3 linked regions of the Astyanax mexicanus genome follow. The protein of the gene in region 2 interacts with the protein of the main gene of each other region in a pairwise test. Links are inferred from orthologs where the notes say so. Each region holds a gene or a part of one and is shown on either strand. Other genes may lie near its edges.

Region 1 (7,340 bases), on a different chromosome or scaffold from region 2:
GGTAAAATTTACTTTTATGGAGATGCGGATTTCATTTTCCAGCAGAACTTGGCGCACTGCCCACACTGCCAAAAGTATCAATTGGTCTTTTATAATATTCTAATTTTCTGAGATGCACCTGTATAACTGTTATCCAAAGCTTACCAGTTTTGGCAATTTTACTGCCACTACTTCAAGAGAAATGCTGGATGCACCAAGTGGTGCATCCCCAGTTTTTGTGGCAAAGCAAGAACGCATGAAATGTGTTCTTGATTATTGGAACACAACTTGGGCACTGGAAGGGAAGGTCAGACTAGAAACAGGACACCTAGAAGAGGTGTGTTTGAGTATGGAAATACAAAACGTCTCCACGACTGACTTTGGGACCAGTGAAGCAGAGGATGCCTTGTAAATTGGCTAACAATTGTCAATATTTTTTAAAGAAAGATACAAATTAATAGCTGGTTTCTTTACATACAGAGCTATAGTCACAATACTGTTCAAATGACTTTTCTGCTACTTGCCTCATTTTTTCTGACAAATTTACTCTGCATTATGAGGATGCATTATGATCCTCTGCAACTCAGGATGTAAAACTAGTTTTACGTTTGTTTGTCTTATCTGTTGCAAGGCAGAAAAATGTATTTACTTTGACTCATGGTATATAAGGCAATGTTTGTGTCTGGTGGCTGGTTTAGGTCCTGTGGTGGCTGGAGTGGTCGGCACTAAAATGCCACGTTACTGTTTGTTTGGAGACACTGTGAACACAGCATCCCGCATGGAGTCTACCAGTGAAGGTACGTGAGTGAAGGGTGGCCTGTAAACACTAGGTTAATGATCAGCTCAGATGACTGCTGCTATGTTTGCCTTTGATAAGAAATGGTTTTGGAGACAGAATGACGGCATTAAATGAGGTTTACTTATTTGGTCACATCAAATACTGTCAATGACATTTACCAAGCCCTTGATAGTATATGTGTAATGCTTTTAATTGCACGTGACCACAAGATATTCTCAATAATATTAGTAACCTTGTTTTTGTGTTAGTTCCATTCCATTACATTTACAGTACTGTACAAAAGTCAGGCAAATATTCATATTGAATTTTACAGTCAAAAGTTCATATTCTTAAGGGAATTAGATATAAGCCATCTGTTTGCAAGGATAGTAGAATTCAAAAGAAAACCATTTAAAATGGGACTCCTAACAACCATGCAAGACCTGGTATCAATCTCCATCAAACAGCACTGAAAGCTTTCATCACTAGACAGAGAGACAGAGGAGGAAAACAAGCTCCACTTTCGCTTCTGATCTGAAAACATCCACAGGTGTTTCTATTCGTTGCTCAATTGTGAGAAGATGAAAGTATGTGGAGTTGACCAAGAAGGTCAAAGTGATAAAAACAAACAGACAAAAGAGAATAAGAACAATTGAAGTCCTCAGAGCAATGGATTGACCATCCAGGAGTCCAGACCTTGACATTATTAAATATGTTTGGGAAGCACAAAATGCAACAACTTCTGTAACTGATTTTTGTTTTTTGATTTTCTGATTTTGATTTTTGATTTTCTGCTGCTGCAATAAACCTAAAGTGTGGACACGATAAATTTAACTTATATTTTGAAAGGCTTATCTGTAATTTCTTTAATTAAAAAACAAAATGTGGTCTTTCTACATGGCATTATACATTATCCTAAATATATATTTGGTACTTGCTTAAGTGGAACATAGCACCTAATGTTTTACAGTATTACAATTTTAAATGCCATATTATCTTCTGGCAGCTTTAAAGATTCAGTGCAGTGAATCCACAGCTGATCTCCTCCACACTCTTGGGGGATACGTTCTGCTCTGTCGTGGCAGTCTAAATGTGAAGGTAAGATTGCTTACATCATTTGCAAACAGTGAAAGTGAAACTTAATTTAAGACATTATGTGCTACTAAAAGCAATGGAGCAAATATTTACAAATGTTACACTACATTACAGTTACTAGGATTGTTTGAGAATAGATGCACATAATTTTTTTAGGATTCCTTTTTGGGATCATTTTTGGGGCAGGATTTTGTAGCTGACTCACTGTGGTTGCTATAGATAACTGACCTTTTCTCATGGAATGCGCCCTTTCAGAGATTGACAAGATAATTTACATGGTAACCCCTTTTAAACCTCACAGCCTTTACGTAAAATGTTGCGCATAAATTATGCAGCTATTCACTATGCCCTTACTATGTATACAAGTAACTGAGTAAAAAAAAACATTCTCAAAATGTATCATAATTATTTTCAGCTGATCTCCCTGCATATCCTAGAAATTAATTGATTGTCCAGTAGAGAACATACGAAAGATGACAAGGGTCCCAAGAGAGAATGCTGTTGGGCCTAGCACAGCTGTGCTATGTCTCAATTAGAGCTTGGTCTCAGCTGGCTTCTGGACAGTGTCTTCTACCTCCTCATTCATTATTCAGAGACAAATAGAATCCCCCTCTCTGAATTTTAATGGCGATGTTCACGAACAGAGACACGACAAGGGAAGATTTACTGCTTGTCTGTAACCGTTTGTCTTACAGGGCAAAGGTGAGATGACAACTTGGTGGCTGGAGACTAAAAAAAGCCCTATGGATCATTTCCTTCAAGATGAAGAGCCACAGTGTGGTCCTGTCCCAGTTAGCAGCTAACACCACTGTCTAGAGAATATGCCTACCTTCCTGTCCTGATCGTTGTATTGATAAGTGTATCATGCAAAATGAAATCTAACATCGCAACATTGGCAAAATAATTGCTTTTTCGGACGCTATTCATTCTGTGATGTGGCATAAATTATTGTGCATTTGTATTTATTATGCTTTTATTGTTACCTTCTGAAATTATGCATAGCTCAAGATTAATCACTCCAGGATTTCAAGACTTGCTGATGTAATTTGTAAATATCTGTGTTTAATAATTAATAAACTGTGTATTATGTGAATTCCGTTTTACGAATAACAGAGAATTAAATAACATTAAATGCATTTAGATTTTTGACTCATAAAAGCCTGACACATTAATTCAATTTATCGGTCTATTACTTAAGCTTTGTGTTACATACAATAACATACACACAAAAGGCCAAAATGTATCCAGATTCCACCTCTAATGATTGAATTCAGCTACTATTCCTGACAAATAGGTTCAGCTTGTATATTATCCATTAAAACGCTCTGTCTGTGGAATAGGATGCCTAAGGTCAGAAAGGTGTCAGTTAGACAGGGGTAAAACCCACCAGCATTGGACTGTGGGGCAGTGCAGCTACATTCTCTGGACTGTTGAAACTTCATTCAATCCATTTGGGATGATTCAGAGTTAAGTTTATGATTCAGAAAGTTTGCAATCAAATCCTCTCCCTGCTGTTAAACTGAAAAATCTTGTCCGATGAGCGGTGTACAATTTACATTTCTATCAATATTTGTATATATTTAGCAATAACGTTTTATTATTTTCTATTATTATAACTACTTTTTTAAAAATAGTATTATATGAATTCATATGATATACCTGTGTATAAACTTGCCCATCTCAGGCTATTTTTTTAAAAAGATTTATTTATAATTTATTTCTAGTTCCCATTTTCTCCCCTATTTAGCTAGGCTGATTGTCCCACCCATTTAGCTGCTAATCAGCTGTATATTCCTCATCACCAGTGATGCCACAACACAAGGTGCCTGAAGACTAGCACATGCCTCCGTTCTCCGTAAGCCACTGGCTCTTTTTGAACTGATGTTGCATTTCGAACAGCTGCTGATGTAGCATTGCCAAAAAGCATCATAGCGTGCCCAGAGAAAATCTCTGGAAAAAAATAAGAGACCACTTGAAAGGTATGAGTTTCTTTGATTTTTTTTCTTTGAATGCTCTTAATGACAATATTTGTATTTGGAATCAGGGAGAAATGTTGTCTGTAGTTTATACATATAAAACATTTTACTTAAACATATACCTATAAATAGCAAAATCAGAGGAACTTATTTAGAAACTGAGGTAGTCTCTTATTTTTTTCCAGAACTGTATATGTTAAATAATATATGAAAATATTCATATATATTTTGTTAATCAATCATTGACTATACACTTTATTATAGACACATTGCACTGATTTATTACAGATTTATATTTATATATTCTGTATACAAAGCCTTTTTTGCCATCCAAAGCCCGCATCGAAGCTCATTGGTTGACGCTTGGGTTATACGAGGTAAGCGGCCAATCAGGTGGCCGCTGTTCGTTGCCTGACAACGCAATGCTTGTCGCTGCTTGTCCTCGTTTTGCAGCTGAAACTGGCACTCTGTAGAAGAGCCAGAACTGCAGCACCTCCAGCTGGAGCTACAGATACAGTTTAATGTTATTACCGGGTACAAAATCAGCACAGCGTTTAAAGGCGGTTCACCATTTTTCTAAGGCGTTTCTTTAAAACCTCTGTCGACGTGGAATACCCCAGATGCCCTGGTGATGCTCTTCGTTGCTAAAAAGACAAGTAAGTGAGCCTCGTCCTCTCAGCCAGGCACGGATTTATATGTAGCTGCGCATGTGTCCTGAATGTAGCCGTGAGTGTGCTCAGATTATACAGTTAAACATGCTTAAAAGAGTACCACGCACAACCTGACAGTTCCTGTAGCCTCGTTCACTGGATTCTGGACACATATTTACTGCCGGTTTTAGCGCAGTCAGTCTGAAGAGATGGCCAGGTCTCATAACATTTAGCCTGCTACTACAACCAGTTGGATAACGGTACTATTAGCGCTTGATTATATTTTGAACTATATGTACAAACGTTACAGTAATCGTTATAAACGTGTTATTTGTGCTGATGTCATTCATATATTATAGGCCTGCTTTAGTTAGACTGATTATACAGCTCTGTAAAAAATGATGAGTTTCCTCTGGAAATATAATCTAGAGGAAGATGGATGATCACAAGCCAAATCAAGCTGAACTGCATATATTTTTGCACCAGGAGTGGCATGAAGTTATCCAAAAGCAGTGTGTAAGACTGGTGAAGTAGAACATGCCAAAATGCATAAAACTGTAATTAAAACCAGTTTTTTTCCACCAAATATTGATGTCTGAACTCCTAAAACTTTATTAATATGAACTTGTTTTCTTTACAAGTCTGAAAGCTCTGCATCTTTTTTTGTTATTTCAGCCATTTCTCATTTTCTACAAATAAATGCTCTAAATGACTATTTTATTTAGAATTTGGAAAAAATGTTGCCCATAGTTTATAGAATAAAACAACAATGTTTATTTGAATCAAACATATACCTATAAATAACAAAGTCATAGAAACTGATTCAGAAACTTAAGTGGTCTTTTATTTTTTTCCAGAGCTGTATGTTACTGTAAAGCAAGTGTTATAGTTAAATACTAGGGGTTGGCGATATGTACCTAAAATAATATAACAATATTTCAGGGTATTTTTTGCGATAATGATATACAACATTAAATACAAAAATAAAGATAAATAAAAAAACATGCTGCAACAAAATATGAATGATAAGATACATGTAATATGCCACTCCCCTAACTAAGATTTTTACAACATTGTAACATTGTAAGTCATTTGTCCAACATCCTATTTATCCAGGATTGAAGTAAAATAAAAGATACTGGAAAGATACACTGCCAAAAAAAGTTAGACCTGACCAACTGCTGCAACCCCAGATCATTTACTTAGTTAAATCTAGGTGGCAACTTTTTTTGGCCAGGCAGTGTATAATCTGTTTCTAATAGATATTTAAAGGTAAATGAGAAGAGTGTGATCACAATATTTCAGGGTGTTTTTGTGCTACCAGTATTTAAGATTGTTGGTGAAATTCTTGCATACGATAGGATATGGCAAACCCATTTTAAATACATTTGGCGGGTGTGTGATGGAATTCATCTGCCGGCTGCAACTAAGCTTTGTTCTTCAAACTAGCTCTCAAATGATTAATTACTTTCTTCAAAATGAAGCATCCTTCCAAGCATCAAAGAATGTTAAAGACGTCCCCAGTATACTAAAATTGCATCATGGGAACTACAGCTAGGGTAAAGCCTGCAAAAGTATGAAAAATAACAGTGTTCTGCACATGTCTACTATGTATACTATTTTTTCAACATGGCTGAATATATGAAAAACATGCTTTTAGAACACTTGGTTCAGAATTTGATATAATTAGTCTGACTAAAGTAGGCCTATGTAGGTTCCTTAAAGTATGTACAGACAGTTATACAATAACAAATTCAGGATAAACTCTTTTTAATATCCTTGGTTTCAGAGGAAAAAATAACTTTTGTCCTGTTAGTGCATGTATGTATGTATGTATTATTATACATTATTAAGATTGTGGAATTATGTTAGATTGCTGGATTTATGTTAGCAATGGAGTGATGGAGTAACGTGAAAAGCCCTGCTAACATGCTCTTTGTTTTCAGGGTACCTGTGCAGGTGTTTGCCGCTAAATAACTAATCCACACAGTATTAGCTCCTTGGATATATGGAAGCCTGGAAAGATGCCAGAGTCATCATATGGTGAAACTGTTTTATAATATATGTAATACTATGATTTGTATGAAAGTATTATGCTTAAAAACATATTTAATTATTTCACAGAAGCACAGTATTAACTGCACTTATTAAAATGGCACTTTGAGGATTCTTTAGTAAAGGAAATAATTACTAGGTTAATATAGGTAAAAATAGGTTATTAATAGGTTAATCGTTTGAGCGAGGGTCCACAGCATTATCTGTGTACCAGGAATATGTCCTATAAGACATGACTACTCACAGTGGATAATGGGTTAAAATGATCCAAATCGCATCAACAATTAACACAGAAGGCTCTGAATATCCTGCTGCTTAAATCAGCATTCTTTAGCTTCCATGAGGCATGGCAAAAGTTTTAAAACACTTCATAGGTAAATGGTAAGATTAAAGATATGAATGAGTTGATTTGTGTATATTTTTAAACTCATTGTTTTATGCCAGAGCTTCATACTGACATTCCATACAGTGTATGTATGACTCTTTTGCTCTACATAGACATAGTCTCATGTGTAAAGGGAATAAATTAAGGAACCAGAAATAACACTGGAGTACTATTTTAAGTTCATGTGTCTCTACTAACCTCGATAAAACTTAGCATGCTCATTGTCATCTTTGTCATGATATTTACCCCCACACAAAACCATGACTAAGACTGTATTTTTACCAAGCAAAATAATTCCAGAATTGTTTGTACCACAGTTATTTCTGTTTTTTTTTGTGTGTTTCACAGACACTTCCTTTGGAACATACTAAGAATTATATAAAAGTTTCTTTGATTATTTCTCCTACAGAAGACATCAGCAC
Region 2 (7,964 bases):
GGCATAACCAGGAAATAAACAACAATCAAACTCTGTATAAAGCTTTCCTGAAGCTGCTGCCAAAAGGAATTAAACAGGGGAATCCCACAAGGAAGTTAAATCTCAACCCCTGTAGACACCCACACAATGTTTATTAACAAAGTATCTTTCTATAAATGTTATTTATTATTACTTTGTTTTATTAAGTGATTCATTTCAAATAATTTGTTAACGATTGTGCAGTTCGTGGGTCCATGTGCCATGAAGCGCTTTAAGTTGGTTTGTGGTCTCTGTTTTTCTCTTTTAACTGATTTATTTCTGCACATCTATTTTATGATGATTCAAATTTATGATTTTATATGTTTGGTTTGTACTAAACATTATTTACAGTAAATATGTATCTTCTTATGGCCTGTACTGTGTTCTTGCAGAGTAGAAAGTTGCAGAGTTAAATAATAATAATTATTAATATTAATATTATTATTTGTGGGAAGTACCATTCTCCTAAAAGTGAATATTGAGTGAATATTTAGAGAACAAATCATTCAAAACCTTTAAATAAATTTTGATTCAATGTCAGAATTGCAACATTAACCGATTACTATTAGGCATAGTTAAAAAATATTGTTTTATGGTTGTTGTTTTTTTATTATGTTTATTTAATGTTCTTTGCTATTAGGGTCTGACCCAGTCACCTAACCATCACAATTGGGCCTGTCAGAGTCATTTGGATCTTCACACAGTACACCCACTGCCTAATACTGTATATATACCCTTCATCTTTTACTTTTACGAGTACTATTGTTATGTTTTCAATACACATGTAACACGGTTCAAAGACATAAAACACAAAAAATAGTAATTTTGATTGTTTTACATGGGCAATTCTTGAATTGCTGTGGAAGCATGAATTTTTCATTATTAATTGTCAGAAAAAAAGACAGAGGCCGTTTCTATCAGACCATCCCAGTAAACACTTCTTCTGATTGTCAGACAAAGCATGTGGGTGTTCCCATGGGGCGTCACTTTCTCTTTCTTATTATTTAGCTAGAGCTTTAACAACAGTGCATTCATTAGAGCAGAGGAAGTGGTTTTATATATATCTGACGGATCTCCAGAAGGTATGTTAATGCAAAAAAAATCTAAATGCCTATTTCAGTTTTCAAAATTACTAGTTTAATAAATTAGTAAATTCAACTATGTTACCTTTTATTCGGGATGTGAATGGGTTGTATGTTTTAACAACCAATTTAGTGCTATCTGTTTCTCTTATTTAGACACACACTGTGACAATGGCTGATTTCAACACTGCTGGCACACTCGAAACCCATGATGGATCACAGGACTTGTCCTGTTTTAATAGTAGGAGGAACCTCATAGGTGATCATTCCTCTAAGGCCAGCAGTTCCAATCAAGAGGCGAAAGCCATCAGACTCCACAAAGGAGAGATTGTGAATGAGTCCCCCTACCCGAAAGTGCCACACATGAGGAGTGAAGAAGCCCGGCTGAGGACGTTCAGCAACTGGCCCTCCTCGTCCCCGGTCCAGCCCAATGACTTGGTGGGGGCTGGGCTGTTTTATGTGCCTAAACCAACCATAAATGACCTGGTGCAGTGCTTCTGCTGTGGAGGCATACTGAAAGCCTGGAAGGAAGGTGATGTTCCCTGGAGTGAACATTCCAAGTTCAACCCAAACTGCTTCTTTATCTTGGGGCATGATGTGGGGAACATACTGATGGAGCTGAAGAGTGATAGCAGTAAAAATGTATTCTCAAATAAAGAGAGAGGTAAGAAGATTTGAAATGCACATATTACAAATAATGAGCATAATCAGCATAATGTAAAGTCTTTGTCCAGTTTGTCCAACTGTGCCAGGGCATAGGGCACAATACACAATATATAATTTCAGCAATTTTTGCAGCTTGATATTAAAGTAAAATGCACACTGTTCTAATTTTCTATGACAGACTTGTATTATTATTGTGAAACCAGAACACAATTGTTTTAAGAGTATTTGCAATAGGATAAACATGAATTTAGGACAATAATGCTCAGGCATGGTACAGGGCAACCAGGTTTAGTGTGAGTACACCTTAGGTTTTTTAATATGTTGTTGCCGTGCATTTTTATATGATTTTTCTATGAAGTGATGTTATTTGTAAATTATCTTTAGAAAGGTTATACTGTCTCATGTTCTTTTGTAAACAGTGTTTTTTTTCCTTATGTGTTGCAGATGAGGACCCTTTAAAGACACTGGAGAAGCTCCAGCGTGAAAAGCTCTGCAAAGTTTGCATGGATAATGACCGTTCCATTGCCTTCATCCCATGTGGGCACTTGGTCACCTGCAGAAAATGTTCCAATTCTGTTGAAAAGTGCCCTGTGTGTTGTGCTTTCATCACTCAGAAAATCAAAACCTATAGCTAAGATTCCACTTTGACACAAAAACTATTATGATGTGAATCATTAACAAGTATTCCTTACAATTGTGCATATGGATATATTTGGATATAATACTTGTATAATTATATATATAAATAATTATGTGGTTTTATATTTTATTCTGCTAATTTTGCTACTTTATTGTCAGCCCACATAAACATAAGTCTTTAGTTTTCTGCTGTTCTGAGAGATGTGTAGTGTGTCGTCAGTGGGTAGTTTATGCTAGATTTTACAGGCAGATTAAAGTATTTGTAGGTAGGTAGATTTCTGTTGGCCTGATTTCAGAGCATGGCTACCCACACAATGATGAAATGGCATACTCTACATAAAACTATGAATGTTGTTTCCAGAAAATAAACTGCAATCAAACTTTAGCTTTCCTGAAGCTGCTGTAAAAGGGATTTGAATCACATTACAGGGAGTGTATATTTTGAGCACAAGAAAGTTTATTCTGTAGACACCTGTAGACACCTAGGCTGTGTTTATTGACATAGTCATATTAATCATATTAACACATTTAATCACTTTGTTTTATTAAATGATTTATTTGAAACACTGTGTTTTTGTACTAATAAAATAGGGTTTTGTAAATAGGAGCTGGGGTTATTTGTTTGGGTTAGCCTATTTCTCTCTTTTTACTGCTTTTTTCTTTTTCTAACACTTCCATTTAACCACAATATGTATATTAAACCGTCTATGTCAAAGGTACACCTGAAACATCTGTGGAAGCATGAGTTTATCATTATGACTTTTGCATATTAACATAATTTTTTTTTTCTCATTTGTTTTTTTTTTCTTTTGTATAGAGGGCACATGACTGTAATATTTTAAGTTTAAAATCCAATAAATCCATCACTTGTGTTATAAAACTGTGTCTGTGAAACATTTTATTTAGCATTTAAGGGTGATTTCACACCTACTTTCTACTGACTTTCAGACTTTTCAGTTTACAACCAAGCTCTGGATATACTGAACTATGGTCCAGTTCATCTGCAGTGTGAAAACACTTTTCTAAATGGTTCAACCTTTTAGATCAATTACAGGAAGTTGGTGTTGTGCCGACTCCACTTGGCATTCAGCCATGCAGTATGGACACTGTTTTACTTCCATAATGCAGCAGTATGGACACAAACGCAAACAGAAATATATAGATTTTTTTGCTATTTACAGTGAAACTTTAAAGGGGTATATTTTGTAGAATATGTTACATTTAAAGTTTATACACATGCTACTATACTTCACGTACGTGAATCCAAAGGACTACAGGACTCTTTTTTTCTTTTTCTTATTTTATTAGACCCTCAAGGATTCAAGGATTCAGTAAGACTTTATTGTCATTCGCATCACGTGGTACATGAGGTGGAACAGAAATGTTATCTCACAGCTCAGTTCCACCCAAAAGAGCAATTGTAATGTAGATAAAATAAAATAAGAATAAAATATTTAATTGAAATAGATAGCAAGATAACTACACATAACATAAAGGGAAGTAGCAGCAGCATAAAACAAGTGCAAGTACTTAAGGCTTGATAAAGTGTAACAGTACTCTTTAATCCTTGTTCTGTGACATGACATATATATCTCATATATTTGTATGTTCTTTCAACAATAAAATAAAATGTCTGTTTTTTTTGGATATTTTATTTAGTTTTAGTTTGAACATAAAACACAACTAATACAATACTAAAAAAAATGTAAATAAAAGAAATTGACATTTTTTCTGATAGGACATACAGTATAATATATTTATACATATACATATAGTATAAATACAATTAATACAAATATGGTTAACCTAGTGTACAACTAACATATATATAGTCAACGATAAAATTTAAAGAGATCTTACATCACCATAAATCAATGGGTCTTTTCAAATGAGTCTTTTTTAATATAGTCAAAGAAGGGCTGCCATACCAAAATATTTCCAATTTGTTTCTTAAATGGTAGGTGATCTTTTCTAGGGGTATACAAAGGTTAATTTCAGAAATACATATATTTTAACAAGATTTCAGTGAGCCTTATGGTGCAACTTTTTTTTTTAATTACCCAATAGTCAAACTTCTGAACCTATTGGAAAAAAGATACCAAGAATCTCAGATAACATATTACAAATTTTCTGCCAGAAGTCATGTACTTTAGGGCATGACTATGTACAGTGAGGGAAAATACCATCAGTAACACCACATCTGTAAGAAAGGGGGGGACACCTTTGAATTTAAAGTGTGCAGCTTAATTGGAGTATAATAAAGTTGGTGTAGGAAATTAGATCGAATCAGTCTTAAGCTTGTGGTAGATGTGATCCCTATAAGATCTCTATAAAGATCTTCACACAAATTTTGATCTATAGCCAAACCCAGTTCTTTTTCCCATTTAGTTTTGTATCTATAAAAAAGGTCTGCTTTAGTGTGAGAGACACACACTAGTCACTATGGTCCATAAAATCGTGTGGGCGTGGCTAATTGTTCCTTCCGCTTTTCTGTAGCTAGCTGGTGGCAGTATAAGAGCAGGATAGAGGAAGGGAGGCAGTCTGTCTGAAAGTTAAACCTTGTGAACGGCAGAATAGGACTGGATTCATCTGACTGGTCTCCTGAAGGTACGTTGACACTAAAACGGTTGCTTTAGTGACTTTAAATGCCGCTAAATCGTTTACGCTAGTTCTAGCTTAGCTAAACTAGCTTAACGTTAGTAGCTAGCTAACACAGCTGCTACAACAACACTGCAGACAGACCGAAGGTCGAAACTCCGTGTCTCTGGTGATTAATCGATCACAACTCGAACAGTTTTGCTTTTTAGGTTCACAGGCAGAAAACAGGGTGGTTTATCTTGCTAATTAAGCTCCGTTTAAGGTCAGCTGCTCTTTGTTGCTGCAGTCTAGCAGGTCTCTTAGTATCCTAACGTAACTAGCTAGCTAACGCTAGGTTAGCTGTGTCAACCAAGGGTGTTTTTGTCATGGTGTCACCTCTAGAGCTAGCTAATCTGGTTACATAGTAGTAACTTAGTAGTAGTAGTAGTAGTAGTAGTAGTAGTAGTAGTAGTAATAATAAAGATATTTAGCGAATGTGTTTAATAATGTGAATATGTGAATGTGAAGTTCTACCCATGGTGGTAATGACAGGTGGTAGCGAGCTAACTATCCTACGAGCGAGCGAGCGAGTGAGTGGGGAAAAGTCCAGAAAAGTCATTGTAGACCGCAAACTGGAAAGCGAACTAGGTGCGTCCCCAATTGCTTAGTTGTGGGTTTGTTTAATGTTAATTTATAGCTCTACGTTTGGAAATTACTGGACTGATTTCCCCCCAAAATTCTGTACATGAATGGTGGGTAAGATGGTCCTAAAACATTATCACGATACTTCAGGGTATTTGCGCAATAACCATAATTTTAATGATATGACAAGGGAATTAAAAAAAAAAAAAAAAAAATATATATATATATATATATATATATATATATATATATATATATATATATATATATATATATATATATATATATATATGTAATAAATTAATGTTCAACAATATACTACTGCAACAATATACATGAAAAGTTTTAAACCTTCAACAAATCTGTAACTATTCTCCATTATGTAACAGTAACTTTCCAAGATTTTGAATATTCTTAATGTAACAAACAGTAACACAAGTAACAAAAAAAACTACCAAATACTAAAGTGCAGATTATTTAGTGCGTGTATAAATTTTGAATGTAAACTATCATACAGAATATACCACTATAAAGTTGCACTGTAAATAGCAAAAAACTCAAAACAAAACAACAACAGAAGAATAGCACTATTATCACAATATGAATTGATAGGGATTTTTAAAATTTATTTAAAAAAAGATACAAGATATGGCAAAAACCGACTAAAACTTCTATATAACTGCTAGCTAAATAATTTTGTGAATGTTCCAGTTTTATTATTCATTAAATACATCACTTGCTTCTGTCCAATAAACAAATGTGTATCTTCATTTGAACCATGTAGCTGCTGTGTATACTGTGTAAATATTTCTGAATGAATGGACTACTAGAAATGCTTTAAAATTACTCATTTTACATTAACTTTCATTTAGAGTTAAGGACATTTTTGGCCTTTCCTGTAAAATCACAATTTAGGAGAGACAGGTTTCACAATTTAGGAGGGACATTCATAGCTATTAACACATCTGATGTAAAATGATTTTTAGTGTTTTTGTAATGCACAGCTAAAGAAATAGTCTGTTCTATAATACACAGCTCTTTTGGGTTTTGTGAGCCTGTGCAGAACAGGGCGGGTTCTGGTAGCTTTGATAGAAATGCATAGAAAAGGATTACAATAAGAATTACAATACAGTAGATTGAAAGGCCACACCTGTGTTTAAGAGTGCTAGATCTTATTGTTAAGCTGTTACTCAACATCTGTCCATCAATCACTTGGATGGCCTGATGGTATCGGTTTATTACCTCACTATGCAGATAGTGATGCTGGTGCTATGTACAGTATGTAGCACCGGTATGTTATCAATTTTTGCTTCGCCTCATGGTTGAGAGTGGGCGAAGCATATTAAAGTTAATAAGTGTGGGTGTAAACGTTTCCTGTGCTGTTCTAGAACTCTTAGCACATGCTGAGGGTGAGGCGTGCCTGTGACCATATACTTCTCCAGGATTTAAGTAATATCCCTGAATAATATGTGTTTAGACTTAAGAAGCCTGAACTTATGTTTGATTCAGTGTATCTATTGGTGAAAGCAATATTTTTGCCATAAAGCTACAGTTAGGGCCATATACCTTCATTACTGTAAAATGATAAAATTCCCATACTAAAATTGAAAGTTATGTTTTGGGGCAGGAAATTCCTCCCAAAATGAATGCACAATACACTACATAAAAAGGCCACACCCTTGTTTGAGGGTGCTGGATTATAATTGCTAGGCTGTTACTCCACATCTCTCATTTCAAACAGGCTAAAGGTGCTGGTTGGTTACGCAACATCACTATGCAGATAGTGATCCTTGTGTAAAATATATGGTATGAAACACCCTTCTATTTTTTTAATGGCATCACATATGAAATTAACTAGCCTAACTGTTTGGATGTAATCCTGTGTCAGATTTAATGCGTCTTTTGCTGAAAGCACAATTTATTTATTTTTTTTGCCTTAAAGCTACACCTTTGGCGATGTCTTTACTGTAAAATGTGGAACTTTCCCTACTGAAATTGAAAGTAAAATTTTACTGTTAAATATGACTTCATTGCTAGATTGAAACCTCACTTTGTAGCTGTAACCAGGGAATGCCCCTCTTGCTGCACATTTTGTTCAATCTTCATAACGAAAAAGAAACTTATAATAAATGTATACAAAACATGCCAAAAATTTAGTTAAATTACCTCCAGGATATCTGTGTGGGGCCTTTTACATAGAATGTGGTTTTGATATCGTCCAGAGTCTGTCTGTCTTGCGTGCGTTGTCAGAAGCCATAGATCACAATTATTACCACCCACTAGGGGTGGGCGATATGGCCCTAAAATAATATCACGATATTTCATGGTATTATCGTGATA
Region 3 (6,996 bases), on a different chromosome or scaffold from region 2:
AGGAAAAAAAATATATATATATTTTTTGTTTCTGTCTGTATTCAGATACAGTCCTGGACCTATTCAATCACATCATTAACATCAGAACACACCTTTACTGCACTCCAGCTGTCCCCCCATACAATTCTATGTATTTGTTTTTGTATGTTTTTAAACGCACTCTACATGTTTTAAATGTAGTATCTGCTGGCAGAATGTGAGTTCTTCTGGAATCTTGGAACACATACTCATATGCACCTGCACAGTTAATGTGCCAGTGCTCATTTAACACTATAGAGAATTTGCATTGTGTGACACTGATGAGTTTTGCTACACTTGTATACCTTTTGTTGGTGTTTTTTTTACCCTTTCTGTTGCCTGGACCTACAATTTGTAGACACTGCAGACTAAATTAGAGGGTCAATTAACCTTTTCAGCTAAAACTTTTCTAGATGGGTCAATAAACCTAAAAGAAGATTTTTAACTGATCAAGGTTTTTCTTGACTGTGTTTACTTTAATAAACGTGTTGCTTTTGAAACAGAGAAGATTTAATGTGGAGAAGCAGATCAGGCACTGTTTTTTATATATCGGCAATTTACAAACCTATTGAAACAATTTAGATGGTGAATTAACACAATTCCGCTGATATCCACATAATTTTTTCCACAAGGAACTTTTGACTATGTTATGTGTGGCAGGAAATTTACTCTTAGTAAATTTAAGTAGATATCTAGTGCACATTTCTAGCGAATCATACATTTACTAGAGGTGAAGTACAACTGGACTATTCAGTTGTAAAAACGAACAGTTCCCAGAAATACTAAAATGTACATAAAAGGTCATGCATGTAATGTTGTTGAATACATTGGTGTAATATGAAAGGGTTTAATATCTGTTAAAATACGTGTTGTATGCATGTCTACAGTGCACATCTCTACCAGACACTGAATACAATTAAGTAGTACAAGATCTTATGCATAGAAGATAACTGCTTGTAAATGTGTCATTATTCTCATTTTGCCAAAAATGTTGCAGTTATACAATTATTTTGTGATTTTCTCATCCAACCTGGCTTCTGAAAATATACCTTTGGATATGTAATGGCCAGAAAGCATTGTTCAAAACACAAACAGTTACTATTTAGTTTTCATAATAATATATCATATATAAATTTTGTCCAGAAACACAATTGGAATGTCAGCAAATCCTGGCTTTGAGAACTGGAACAGTCACGAGTCAGAGTGATCTTATTCTAAATCTGACATGTGTCATCCCTCTAAATGCGATAATTTTGTGACATTAAATGGTTACATGGTTCCAGTCATTATCTAATAGATTTTGAAATGCTGAAGTAATTCCCCATTACTCTTGTGTTCTGGCAGCACTGTGTTATGTTACACATAAATTTTTGGCCCAAATTGGACAGCACTACACTAAATTCTAATTTCTCACTTTCAGTAAAACAAAACCAACAAACTCCCAAATGCAAATGGAGCCACGTATGCCAACTTATTAATTATTTTAAATGGCTAGACGGTTATCCTCATGTCTGTTGCAATTTACACTGACTCTTTTTTGTTTTCCCACTAGAGTCGTTTGTGCAGGAGTCACAGAACCATTTCTCAAAGTTAAAGAAGTTCTCACGTGGCTGGTTCCGCATCCAAGTGCAACAGGTTGGACGAAATAATTTGCAGCATGGAGCCCATCCAAAATCCTTGAACATTAAAAAAGTTTCGAGTTTTTAATTACAGATCCTACCTTTTCTACATGAAGTCTACTTTTCTGATTAATAAAATCATTTGCATCATTTGCTGTTGATATTGTCTGTTTAATACTGTCTGTTGTCTGCAGTAGAAAAAAGAGTTTAAAGCTGAATTGTTTTGTTATTGATCATATTAAATATACTAAAAACAAACAGCTCAAACTGGCTCAAAATATTCATACACATAATATGCTTTCTTCTGGATGGTCAACTACCTTGACCATCAAATACCAGTTTACTAAAGAGCTACCGGCAAAAGATTCTTAAGCTGGCAATACTTTGTTTAAAGATATCAAAATACATTTAAAGATAAACATTCAAATAAATACAGTTGTAAGGCACAATATACAAAAATGTATAATACATAACATTCATTCAAAGTAAAATTCTGTATATAAATGAGTGTTGTGATATCATAAACAGTGACCATGACTCAAAAGTGACAACTTTTATAATGTTTTTTTCAATTATGTTTTAACTAATGTTTAAGATCATTTTTAATTTTTAAAATGAAAAGAACTGTAATTGCATAAAATAAACATGCTTTTGTGATCATGTGTGATTTTTGACCATTTCAGATAGGAACTAATAGTTTACAACATTTCAATAAAGGAGGCCCTGAGGATCTTAATTTTTGTGATAAATGTTTACTATTTTCACATAGTTTTACACAAATTCACTGAAGTTTGTAACAAATTAGGTAAAGGGTGCTTTTTTTATCTGTTTACATGCATGAGCACCTTACGCAGATCATTTGGTTAAAGTAATTGAACTCAAGATTCTTGGTGTACTATCAACAAGCCTAACAACAAGCAACATTTAGGTTTTATATATGGTCTATGGCCAAATCAACAATAATGACTGGAGTGTACCAATGTGTACCGGTAACTTTTTGAATGTGGAGAAACCACAACACTGGAAACCAAATTTTAGTTTCATTATAACAGCCAAAGCTCAGAAAATATAGATGAAACAATATTTTTTTATTTACTAGGTATATGTTTGAAAAAATATGGTCAAATATCTAAATTCTGTTAGTATTTGAAAATAACCTCAGGCTTGTGTGAGTGTCTTCTGTAATTTTTTTGTAATTTTAGGTGAATAAAGCTTAAAGCTGCAGCTATGAGACATTGGTTTAATGCTGTAAGATACGCAGTATTTACAGCCTCTGACTGATGTTCAGTACAGGGAGCTCTATTGAAAAAATTTATTCATTCATTTGCTCCTCAGCTAAAATTCTGGTGAATTGGACAGTTCAAAACATGTTGATGACGAATGTGATTAAATATGATTCATTTAGATTAATTAATCACAAGTCATGTAATTCATTGAAGTACTTTTAAGCATCTGACAGCACAATAAAAAATGCGCTACCACTGTCTTAAAACTGCTGGCGTGAATCTGCTGGCGTATATCCGCGGCTCTGCAGACAGATACTAATGGGAAAGTATCCTATATCCCTGTATATATATGAGAAAATCACTGTTCAAACACTAGAGGGAGTTCAAAATGTGGTGAGGTGAAGTGAATGGAGCTAAACGCCTAAAAACTTAAATTAAAAATAGTAACTATAACCATTTGACATGGATATTCTTTGGATATATTTTTGGAAAGTAGGATATGTAGAATGTTGCTAAAACAAGCAAAGAAAACATACCTTTATATTTAACAGGTTTTAGGCAGTCAATGTGCTACCTTTAGGCTAATCCTTCTGTGTGCTGACTAGAGGTGGGTAATCCAGGTCCAGAAGGTAAAAATCCAGTCCAAGGTTTTGTACCAACTGCATGGGCGGCCCTGGACCTGGGTTACCCACCTCTAGTCAGGCAGTTGGTACAAAACCCTGGTCTGGATTTTTACTGTCTGGAGCTGGGATACTCACCTCTAGTGCTGCCTGGTTGGTGAACTCAGCTGATGCTGGAATTACAGCCAGAACATTTTAAATGGTTTATAACTGGAGTTTTTAAACTTAAAAAATATATATTTGCCACTGAACCATGTGATATTGTGCTGTGGGAAATGGGTGCAATTTTCAGTATAGAAATTATCAAACATTTATAAACTGCTCAAATGCTCCATATGAATCTATTCATTTTGGACTCCAAGAAAATATCTTTAAAATGGGAATTCTCCTCTCTAGAAGTTCTATGATTGCGTGTTTAAGTTTAACTCCACCCTCTCCCCACCTTCCCTGCACAGTTTCGGTTTTACTCTCTGACATGAAAAACTTTCTGTGCGCAAGAAAACGTCTTTTTTTGTTCAGTCGAAATATTGCCATTCCAGTCAGCGTATTTTAGCTGATTATTCTCGCTGTTAGGTTGAATATGAACCATTACCCTCTCAGGGAATTTTCTCCTGTTTTCAGCTGAAGGTGTTCCCACAGGACTCCTCACAGCATGGAGGAACAGGTAAGTCGTTTTACTCGTCGGCTAAAAGTTAAACTTTATATATTTAATGGTGTAGTCTGTTGGGGAGCGAGGCAGAAGATATATTTGTTATATACAGACGTGAAAGAGACTCTGTCCGTGTCACAAGATACACTAGCTAACCTACCACACCCGGGCTGAACCCTACAGTTCTAGGAAATTTAGGTTAACTTACTTCCTTAAGTGAAGAAATGAGAGATTCTGCCGGAAGTGTCGAATAATAAAGAACAAATCCCTCTTTACCTTGCTTAGGTAGAAAGTTTGGTCATCTTTACTTTACTAAAGTAATACTTTTCAGACGACGTTTTACTTCAATATAAATTTTCACACAATTATGTGTATTTTATAATCCTTACATTTTCAAACAATTATCTGTACTTTTTTACTCTTTACATTTTCAAACAATTATCTTTAATTTCTACTCCTTACATTGTCACACAATTATCATTTCTTTCTAGTTTTTATATTTTCACACAATTATCTGTACTTTATACTCTATGCATTTTCCCACAATTATCTGTACTTTATACACCTTACATTAAAAAAATAGCCTTCTTTACTCTTATTTCAGTTCAGCTGTTTTTTATTGGTTTCAATAAAATTCTATTTAGATAAATCTCTCCATCTGGATAGATTGAATTTGATTGTGGTTGAATGAGAAGTATAAATATATACAACTCCCTATTGGTTTACATGTGATCCATATATTGTGGCAGAGACTCAAGAGAACTCAAGTGAAATGTTCCAACTAAGTTTCTTTAATATTTGCATTGGGTTCATTTTCAATGGGTATATATGCAGTAATCCAGATTTTCGACATTAACATTTTAGTATAACATTGTAGTCATTATGGTTTTTAGTAAAATGTGTTTTGGGAAGGGGGTAGTGCACTATAGGCTCCTGTGGCATGGCCTAATTGTTGTCTTTAATGGCATTTTTTCCTTGAATTACTTTTACTTTTATACTTATTCTAAGTAGTTTTAAAACCAGTACTTTTACACTTGTACTTAAGTAAAAGGCTTGAGTTGCTACTTCACCTTCTACATAAGTATATTTAAACCCTAGTATGTATAATTCTACCTAAGTAATGAATGTGAATATATTTCACACCTTTGAATAATTATTAAATAGACGTAGCATGTTGTTTAATCAATGAGAAGCTCAAATCCTGTCCTAATTAAGGTCAACCTGGTTTTACTTGGTTATATTTCACAGACAGGACTGTGACAATTACAGTCTATACTGCTACATAGTTTTGCTCTGTGGCGGTTTTGCCTAGGAAAACACTGGATGGCGCCACTGCTACCCATCCAGCGGCCTGGCTGATCCACATGGCAGCTTAACATTCGACATAAATCTCAGTTTTAGTAGTGAAGAGAAGACTTAAAGGCCTGAGAGGTGACTAACTAAAAATAGGGCTGTTCTAAAACTTTTGACTGACCGTGTATGTTACTAATTCAGTCAACATTCAGCACAAATATGCCCAAATAGCCTGTTAGTCAAGTCCAAAACAAACGTGTAAACTGCTACTTTTGAGTTATAAAACTAACAAACTGTACAGCTGTGAACTATACATTCCTGCAAAATCCTCAATTGGATAGGTCCCATTGCCTTTCACTGGTTTTGATGGCTGATTAGGAAACTACGATGAGCAGAAGGCCTGATAGCAAAGAACACTGAATAAACATATATTTTTTTGGTTGCAGTAGATCAGGGGTGTACAATTTTTTTTTGTTGTGGGCCAGAAGGAGAAATATATGTGCAGTCATGGACCACAGACTCAAAAATCAATAAAACAAATAATGAAATATACTACTTATAATAAAACATTTCCTTAATTACTATCATTTACACACCATTTTACTTGAGTTACTATCTTTATCTGTCTTAGACAGTGTTGTGTAAACTAAGATTTTTCAAATTAATGTTCTGGTTCATAATGTCTCTTAATATTATACTAGTAAAAAAATAGTAATTTTCCCAACATGCCTGAAATTTTCTGCATTTGCTGTCCATTTTTTCGTTTCTTTGGAGTTGTTAGACTCTTTGGCCCGTTTTCTATACTACAACCGTGCACTCTCTCCTCTTTTAGACTCTTTGGCCCGTTAACCTCGCTACAACTGATCACTCTTGCCGCTATCAGACTATTTGGCCTGTTTTCTGCACTACAACTGTGCATTCTCGCTGCTTTTAGACTCTTTGGTTCGTTTTCCGTGCCACAGGTGCGTATTCTCACCGCATATAGACTCTTTTTTCGCGCTACAACTGCGCACTCTCGCCGCTTTTAGACTCTTTGGCCTGTTTTCCACGCCACAAGAGTGCAGTCTCGCCGCATATAGACTCTTTGGTCCGTTTTCGGCGCTACAAGTGCGCATTCTCGCCGCATATAGACTCTTTAGTTATTTAAATATATATACATATATATGTATATATGTATATATATTATACTATATTTTATAATATGGCATAATCATAATTTTTGAATAAAAATGTCTTATATTCATTTATTATCTGTTTTTGTCTGATCAGGGTCACAGAGGGTGTGGGATCTACCCGGGGTCATTGGTTGCTAGGCAGGAATGTTCCTTGGATCAATCACCAGTTAATCCCAGGGTACCTCACTGTTTTCAATCAGACACACACACACACACACACAAACTTTCAATAAATGTTAGTCTAAATGCAACTCAAATAAACATAGCATGTTCAATGCAGATATTATTTATAGCTTAGTTATACAGTATAGTCTAGTAATGTATTTCAATAAAGACTAAACTAACAGGTATTTTCACTGGGATAAACAACAGCCCACTGTTTTGTTGCATAGCTAT

What was found.
Region 1: the proteins of E3 ubiquitin-protein ligase XIAP (region 2) and afadin- and alpha-actinin-binding protein interact in binary tests that used the Homo sapiens proteins (3 or more experiments, as listed by UniProt). The two-hybrid records come from large-scale screens. The link is inferred for Astyanax mexicanus from reciprocal best matches to the Homo sapiens genes XIAP and SSX2IP.
Region 3: the proteins of E3 ubiquitin-protein ligase XIAP (region 2) and casp10 interact in binary tests that used the Homo sapiens proteins (3 or more experiments, as listed by UniProt). The two-hybrid records come from large-scale screens. The link is inferred for Astyanax mexicanus from reciprocal best matches to the Homo sapiens genes XIAP and CASP10.

Annotation. Positions count from the first base shown.
Region 1 is NC_064423.1:20,581,869-20,589,208, reverse strand, and holds the start of afadin- and alpha-actinin-binding protein, read left to right. Parts: upstream 1-4,255; 5' UTR 4,256-4,484; intron 4,485-6,424; 5' UTR 6,425-6,502; coding exon 6,503-6,521; intron 6,522-7,327; coding exon 7,328-7,340. Other genes in the region: atrial natriuretic peptide receptor 2, read left to right, coding at 678-776, 1,764-1,855, 2,548-2,655. UniProt on the Homo sapiens protein: Belongs to an adhesion system, which plays a role in the organization of homotypic, interneuronal and heterotypic cell-cell adherens junctions (AJs).
Region 2 is NC_064417.1:41,604,766-41,612,729, forward strand, and holds the start of E3 ubiquitin-protein ligase XIAP, read left to right. Parts: upstream 1-4,873; 5' UTR 4,874-5,012; intron 5,013-7,964. Other genes in the region: E3 ubiquitin-protein ligase XIAP-like, read left to right, coding at 1,272-1,764, 2,211-2,401.
Region 3 is NC_064418.1:32,518,039-32,525,034, reverse strand, and holds the start of casp10 (caspase-8), read left to right. Parts: upstream 1-3,911; 5' UTR 3,912-4,135; coding exon 4,136-4,147; intron 4,148-6,694; coding exon 6,695-6,778; intron 6,779-6,996. Other genes in the region: protein FAM237A, read left to right, coding at 1,571-1,725. UniProt on the Homo sapiens protein: Involved in the activation cascade of caspases responsible for apoptosis execution. Recruited to both Fas- and TNFR-1 receptors in a FADD dependent manner. May participate in the granzyme B apoptotic pathways.